Drosophila melanogaster: one gene and its partner. The protein of the gene in region 1 interacts with the protein of each later gene in a pairwise test. Each region holds a gene or a part of one and is shown in the gene's direction. Other genes may lie near its edges.

Region 1 (3,755 bases):
TAAAAACTTCTTTTTACAGTTCCAAAACTTTGAACTTTATTTTCTCAGAAAAATGGTTCAAATATTTCACAACTTTGGTAAATATGAATGCTAAATTAAATCAGCATTTCATCAACGAATGTAACTTATTATCTTGAATACCTGAACAGTATGTATTATTTGCACCCAAAATAAAGATAAGCCCACCCTCCATTAAAAAGAATTCATTTGAATATTTTTTTCATATTTTATATATTTTATTATTTTTTTTTTTTTGGTTTTTTTATGCGCACTTAATATATAAAATGAATATTGAATAATACTGAATGAAGCCAGATACTCACACTGAAATCCGAACGGGCAGAGCCAGGGGTAGTGCTCGAGATCGTCGGGAATCGGTGTAGGACCTGGAACGAGAACGCCCATGAGAACGACCACGCGAGTGACCACGGGAGCGACCGCGAGACCGGGAACGATCCCGCTTGCGGTCATCTCGCGTGTGTCTTCTCCGCGGCATGTGCCCCTCCTTCTCCGCCAGGATCAGCTCGCAGTCACTGTGGTCGGAACTGGAACTGGAAGATGAGCTAGTGTGATGACTATGACTATGATGTTTGCGTCCTCTGTGTCGTCGTTTACCTCCATCGGAGCTGCGGTGCTTGGACTTGGTCTCCTTGATGGAGAGTTGAGATTCCTGCTGCTGCTGCTTCTGGATCTGTTTCATCACATCGTTCAGCATTTTCTGGGCCATGTTGGCCTTTCGAATGAGACGCTCCATCGACGGCAAGGCCATGTCCTCGACTTCCACGGGCGTGGCATTTGGCAATTGGCCGCGGCATCCTTGACATGCATCCGGCCCTGCATTTGCCGCAGTTTGCTCACGTGCCACGTTATCGGATTGCGACATTTTTGCACTAGTTTACAACTGACCCGATAAGAAATTCACTCAACACTTTAATTACTGATTAACTACTGTTTCTCTGAACTGGATATAACTGCTGCGGAATCTGTTGCTTATGTTTCGACTGCTTCACTTGAACACTTGAATTTGACTGGCTTCTGCGGCATTCGGTCGATGAGCTTTTATAGGCAACTTTGGCGCCAAGCTAATCGCGACTTTCGGACTGTAAACATTTGCCTTTCTTTATCAGTCACATACTCATACAAACCACACGATAAATGTGACGTCATCTGAGCTATTTTTAACCAAATCGCATTCATGGGTTTTTGGGAAATTACTTCCATTGATCACGTGTTTTTAATGTTACATAATTTCATTGCCGAACGTAACCTCAAACATATTTCATATTTTTGCGAAATTCTTCTTACTTTTGTATTTCTGCATATTATATGCATTATAAATATTCTGCGTATTTTTATAAGCATACCTTTTATTATTTTTTACGATTTTGTGAAATATGACATTATTTTGATATAATTTTAATTTTGAATTTCGTCCAAGTGTGTAATTTTAAAACAATTATTTTATCGTTTTAAATCATCGAAAATTTTAAGAATATAAAGTATTAAGAAATTTACACAATTTTTTGAAAATGTTTTGGGATCTTAATAATTGCATAAATCAGGTTTAGCACATTATTTTAGAAATACTAAACGGTTAAATATTTTACAGAACTGCTATTTAATTTTAAGGTATAAGACTACGTATAAGACATTACCGCTTGAGACTAGTATTTTTATTGTGGTATTTTCATGATTGCTTTTGAATTGTGCCCGCCAAAATATGCAGTCTTAACCACAAGCGGTTAAAATCATTCCTTACGTTTACTTATATTTAAAAATCGACAAAAGGTATAATAATTCAAAACTATTAAAAAATTTTAAATAAAACTAAACGAGTCTAAGTTTTCTTAATCAAAATAGCTGTTAATATGGATAAGATATATTTGGCGCATCCAATAGATACATTTAACCGCTGAAGAGAATTAACAGTGTGATACGCCAGACTGTTAACAGACTGTTAAAACGCGATTTCCCGGCTTTGGTATTTTTACATTACCATCATTTGGTTTCTCTGATATTTTAAAAATCTATATAAGCAGCTCGCAACGCATTCTCTCTGTAATTTTTCGGGAGAGCGCAGCAGCGCGCGCTGTTTTTTCGGTTACCATTAAAAAATATTATTAAAGAAACATCGTTATAACTTTAATGCCAACGGAGTTGCGGCAATTGAAACTGATTTTTTAAGCAAACGAACAATAAATTCGACGTGGAGTGTGCTTCTGCTCGCCTACATGAAGTAATAGCGATGTATATTATGATTTAGTAAATATAAATCGATTTAATTAATATTTAAACTTGTTGTTTTCCGCGAGTGGGCGCGTTTTGTTACCAAGCCGCTATACGATTTTCGTTTTTCCGACTTTCCTGCGCGCCGAACGGGTTTTTCAACGAAGCCTTGCTGTCTTTTTCCTCGTAAGCAGCAAAAACAAGGCTGAAAAACTAAATTAAAGCGACTCGCTTCAGCTGCAGATTAATCGATGTGCGGCTATAGACTTTTAATTCGCAGATTCATCATCGATTTTTCCTTTGGGCTCAGCTGCAGTGCGCTAGTGTACGTGTATGTGCGTGTGTGTGAGTTGGTCCTGACAATACAAATAAGCCGTTGTGTTAGGTAAACGGAACAACAAAAGGAAGTGAACCAGAGAGAGAAAGAGAGAGAGGAAACGGCAGGACGATACCGAGTCCTTGAGCGATCATTCATGCTCTTCTTCTTCTCCAGCTGCAGCTGTCACGAAATTTCGCGCGTGCACGTGTATGTGTGTGTGTGGGAGACAGGGAGAACGCCGAAGTTAGTAATTTCTCTCCACTTCTCAGTGTTTGTGCATTCAATTTGCACAAAATTGAAGCGACGCGCTAAATTCGCAAATTTCCGTCCGCGAATTGCCATCCATTATTTTGCACTCCCCCCCAAGAGAGCGAGAGCAATAATAGAATTATCAGGCAAAGCAAAAAAAAAAATCAAAACTCAAGCGAAAAGAGAATGCCCTGGGAGGCCGTAATACCAATACCGCGACCCTCTGACATTTCCATCGTCGCCCACCAAAGGAACAACAACTGAGCGACAAAGACAGCAACAATCCGACAAACAAACAAACAAAACAGCAAACGAGCGAATCAACGAACGAAACTCCAGCAGCAGCCTCAACCTCCTCAACCGCTGGCACAGTTTTCCTCCTTCAACTCCAGCTCCGTGGGTGAGTAGCTACAGTGGAACGCCACTAAGTAGAACATTCTGCGAGTTCTAAGTTAAATTGCAGAGAATATCGCTTTGAGCACAAACTGATTAGAAATTGCCTTCACTTGGTCTTAGAAAGTTTACTAATACCAACTGATACATCGTTTTTTTGTTTGTTAATGTCAGTTTTAAATTGAAATCGATTAACAAATCTTAATGTCCTTTTTATATTTTTTTATAATGGATGTGGGATATGGGGGAAAGGCAAATGGCTCTTACGTGTAAAATTTTATAGTTTTTCCATAGCATTTAAGTACAATTAATTTTCTTTACGAAGAAAATGAAAGTTTTGCTTATGTAACAAGCCAAATTTAAGCAAATATTTTGTTTTTTGTATCAGGATAAAAGTTAAGCTTACCCAATCTCCACTGTAACTCATTGGCGGGTAGAAAGTGGTTATCGAATATGAGCTGCGTCTTATGTTGAAGCCACATCGTCGTGTGGGCGAGAGGGTGGTTGTGGTGGGTCAGAGGTGTGTTGGCGTCGTGCGGCTTTGGTTTTTAGCTGAAATTAAAAAGGT
Region 2 (3,755 bases), on another chromosome or scaffold:
TAAATCATTACGCAAATTTTATTTATTACTAAATATTTTATTTATTTATTTAAATAGAATATGTCAAAGAATAAACCAGAGATAATAAAACAGGACAAAAGCAGTGTCAACGTGTTTACAATTATTAAAACTTCGAGTGTGGAGATTATAAAGTTTCTTCTTAATCCTAGACGGAATTTACTCTTTGTCGAGCCGACAACGGCTAAAGTCTGTCGACATGCAGGAATGTTTGTGGAGTATTAGCTTACTATATATTGGCTAAACTGGCTTTAAACATTGTCGAATCGATAAAGAAACGCCATCAAGGGCATAATTCGGTGTGATTTGAGTTCGGGACGCAATATGTGACTGGAATGTAAAGTTCACAGAATAAATACGTAAATATTAAATAAGATTCCACAGAATCCATTTATCTATCATCTATATTGCACCATTGGTAACGCACTAGTTTTGCTTGTGCAAAGCTGCTCCGTCGGTACGTAACCCATAGGTCAGCTGGGTTTTCATCACTGCCAAACTGCTGCCAATGATCTTTTTGTGGTAGATCTGCCGCGTAACGAACCCAAAATCATCATAAAAGTCGCGCTCACTTTCCTGCCACTCGGAGATAGTGCACTCCAGTGAGGCGTACCCGCCGATAATGCAGTTCTTGACCACCAGTTTTATCATGGGGTCCATGATCGTCTGACACGGGTAATGGGGATCGATGGCAAAGCGATAGATCCATGCAGCATTGTATACGGCGTGGTGATTCTTCACACTAATAGCGGCCACAATCCTGCGCCGGAATTTCCTCGTGTATGTTTCCTCGTATGGACAGTTCTCGGTAAATATCTGGTAGCTAGCTTCCTTCGGTGAGCAGCGGAAAATGAAGGGTTCATAGCACTCGGCCACCAAAGACTGCGATGGTTTGGTCTGGAAAGTAAACGTTCTTAGTTTGAGATACTTTGCTGCCGATGCTTTAACACTTACCCTCATCAACTCCACTGCCTTGGAGTAAAACGAGAAGTAGGTGCCGGTAAATAGGCAAAATATGCAAGCGGGCACAGTGAGTGCACAAAAAAGCAGGGGCACTCCCAGAAATATGAAGAATATGGCCCACGTGATGACTATGAACTGCAGGGTGATCTGAAAAAAGTTGAAATCCAAATAGTTCATAGAGTTTGGGGATCTAGATAAAGATGTCTCACCTCTCGAAAGCAATAGACAAAAAAGGACTTATTCGAGAACGACATGATGTAGTCCCGCACCAGCTCCTGGCACTTGAGCTCATCATCTTGCGTGTAGTTGCGAATGACAATAAATGGCTGCATTAATGTGTTATTAAATTATTAGATAAGCCGAACCAAAAAAAAATAAAAACACCGATCAATCAGTGTGTCCAAAGCGATGCAAAATCCACTACTTCTTATGGCAAAACAGCTGTTGCTGCGGTGTTGCCACTCGAGACAGATATCGGCAAAGAGAACTCAAGACTGATAGCGTGAGAATAACTATCGCAAGAAGTTTATTTATTAGATATAATATTTTACAATGTTTGAAAATTAGTCTTCAACTCTTATTTTTTAAATGTACACCTGTTTGAATAACTATTTTAATTTATCGTTTGTTCCATTTATTTAAAAGAATCGCTTTCGTGAGCTTGCCGTGAGCTAGCCCAATCACGGTGCCATCTCTCATGCCAAACACTCTGACTTTGATCTGGCACTTTTTCTCATGACGTGTCGGCGAGCTTAACTTTATTAAAGAACTACTCGAAAAAGTCACTGCAAATAGCCGAAAATGCGCGACCAATTCATCAGCCTGGCCCTGATTCTGTGCGTCCTGCACAGCGCCTGCGGCTTGTACTTCCACATATCGCAGACGGAGCGCAAGTGCTTCATCGAGGAGGTTCCCGACGAGACAACTGTGATTGGTGAGCCAGAGCCTAGTGCCAACTTGGAAGTTTTACCAATCGACTAACTTGTCCTCCTGCAGTTAACTACAAGGTAGAGCTGTATGATCCGCGCTCTAATGGATTCATGCCCTCGTCGCCCGGAATCGGCATGCATGTGGAAGTACGCGACAGCGACGACAAGATTGTGCTGTCCCGCGTGTACAGCTCACAGGGCCGCATCTCGTTCACCTCGCACACTCCTGGCGAGCACGTCATCTGCATGTTCTCGAACAGCACCGCGTGGTTCAGTGGTGCCCAGCTGCGTGTTCACCTGGACATCCAGGTGGGAGAGCACGCTATCGACTACGCCCATGTGGCGCAGAAGGAGAAACTGACTGAGCTGCAGCTGCGCATCCGCCAGCTACTTGACCAGGTGGAGCAGATCACCAAGGAGCAGAACTACCAGCGATACCGCGAGGAGCGGTTCCGTCACACCAGCGAGAGCACCAACTCCCGCGTGCTCTGGTGGTCGCTGGCCCAGACCGTCGTCTTGGTTTGCATGGGCTTCTGGCATCTATTTAACCTGTTCCACACTTGTGTGTACATTAACGAGCAGTGTTTGTGTGTGTGCTGTCTTTATATAAAGAAAATATCTGCCCTTGGCCTTATCAATGATAAGATTAATGGCTTGCCAGACCCGTGAGTCAGACTACAAACGACTTACGGCCATGTCGGGGTGTGTAGAAGAGTTGGCCTGGTTGTGACTGTCAATACAAGTGCTTACATAGGCACACAAGTGTGGGGGAAACAACGCACACACACATACAACGAATCTCGCAACATACGATATACGATAAGTTGTGATGTATATATTAATATATATATCCATTCCGAAACATCCACAAACAGACAAGACCAGACCGATATACCCTAGCACATTGGGAACGGAGCTTCGAACTGAGCTCGGTAAAACGGGGCAAGGTTGGGGCATTATCGCATCACATGCATATGACATCAGCGCAACACTGCGTATACGTAATCTGGCGATAGTACTGATTGAATGAATTTAATGTCAGGCTCTACTAACCGTAGTTCTCCCTTCGTTTTCGTCCCCTTTTCCCCGCAAACAGGTAAACAAAAAATCTACTGTGCGAAATGCACGAAGAAGTGCTCCGGCGAGGTGCTCCGCGTGGCGGACAACCACTTCCACAAGGCCTGCTTCCAGTGCTGCCAGTGCAAGAAGTCCCTGGCCACCGGCGGATTCTTCACAAAGGACAACGCCTACTATTGCATACCGGACTATCAGCGGCTGTACGGCACCAAGTGCGCAAATTGCCAGCAGTATGTGGAGGGCGAGGTGGTCAGCACCATGGGCAAGACCTATCACCAGAAGTGCTTCACCTGCTCCAAGTGCAAGCAGCCCTTCAAGTCGGGCAGTAAGGTGAGCTGAAACCCTCCACAGATCGAGTGATAAGTAACTAATCACATATTCCTCCTCACAGGTGACCAACACCGGAAAGGAGGTGCTTTGCGAGCAATGCGTCACGGGTGCTCCAGTGTCGCCCAGTCGCCAGGCGACGGGTGGAGGCGTCTCCTCGCCAGCTCCTCCGGCGGAGAGTCCGACGAGAGCCACTGCCCACCAGCAGCACGGCAGTGTGATCTCTCATAAGGCGCACCTCAAGGAGGACTACGATCCCAATGACTGTGCCGGCTGTGGGGAGCTGCTGAAGGAGGGCCAGGCACTGGTGGCGTTGGACCGGCAGTGGCATGTCTCTTGTTTCCGGTGCAAGGCCTGCCAGGCGGTGCTCAATGGGGAGTACATGGGCAAAGACGCGGTGCCCTACTGCGAGAAGTGCTACCAGAAGGGATTCGGGGTGAA

The links.
Region 2: the proteins of corn (region 1) and p24-2 interact in a two-hybrid assay, tested with the Drosophila melanogaster proteins (one large-scale study listed by BioGRID).

What each region holds. Positions count from the first base shown.
Region 1 is NT_037436.4:7,155,375-7,159,129, reverse strand, and holds the start of corn (cornetto), read left to right. Parts: upstream 1-2,056; 5' UTR 2,057-3,194; intron 3,195-3,755. Other genes in the region: CG8620 (uncharacterized protein), read right to left, coding at 320-883.
Region 2 is NT_033777.3:9,690,727-9,694,481, reverse strand, and holds the start of p24-2 (p24-related-2), read left to right. Parts: upstream 1-1,706; 5' UTR 1,707-1,782; coding exon 1,783-1,915; intron 1,916-1,977; coding exon 1,978-2,579; 3' UTR 2,580-2,739; coding exon of another isoform or gene 2,740-2,857; 3' UTR 2,858-2,936; coding exon of another isoform or gene 2,937-3,317; intron 3,318-3,378; coding exon of another isoform or gene 3,379-3,755. Other genes in the region: CG32939 (uncharacterized protein), read right to left, coding at 445-915, 973-1,128, 1,191-1,313; Unc-115b (uncoordinated 115b), read left to right, coding at 2,740-2,857, 3,007-3,317, 3,379-3,755.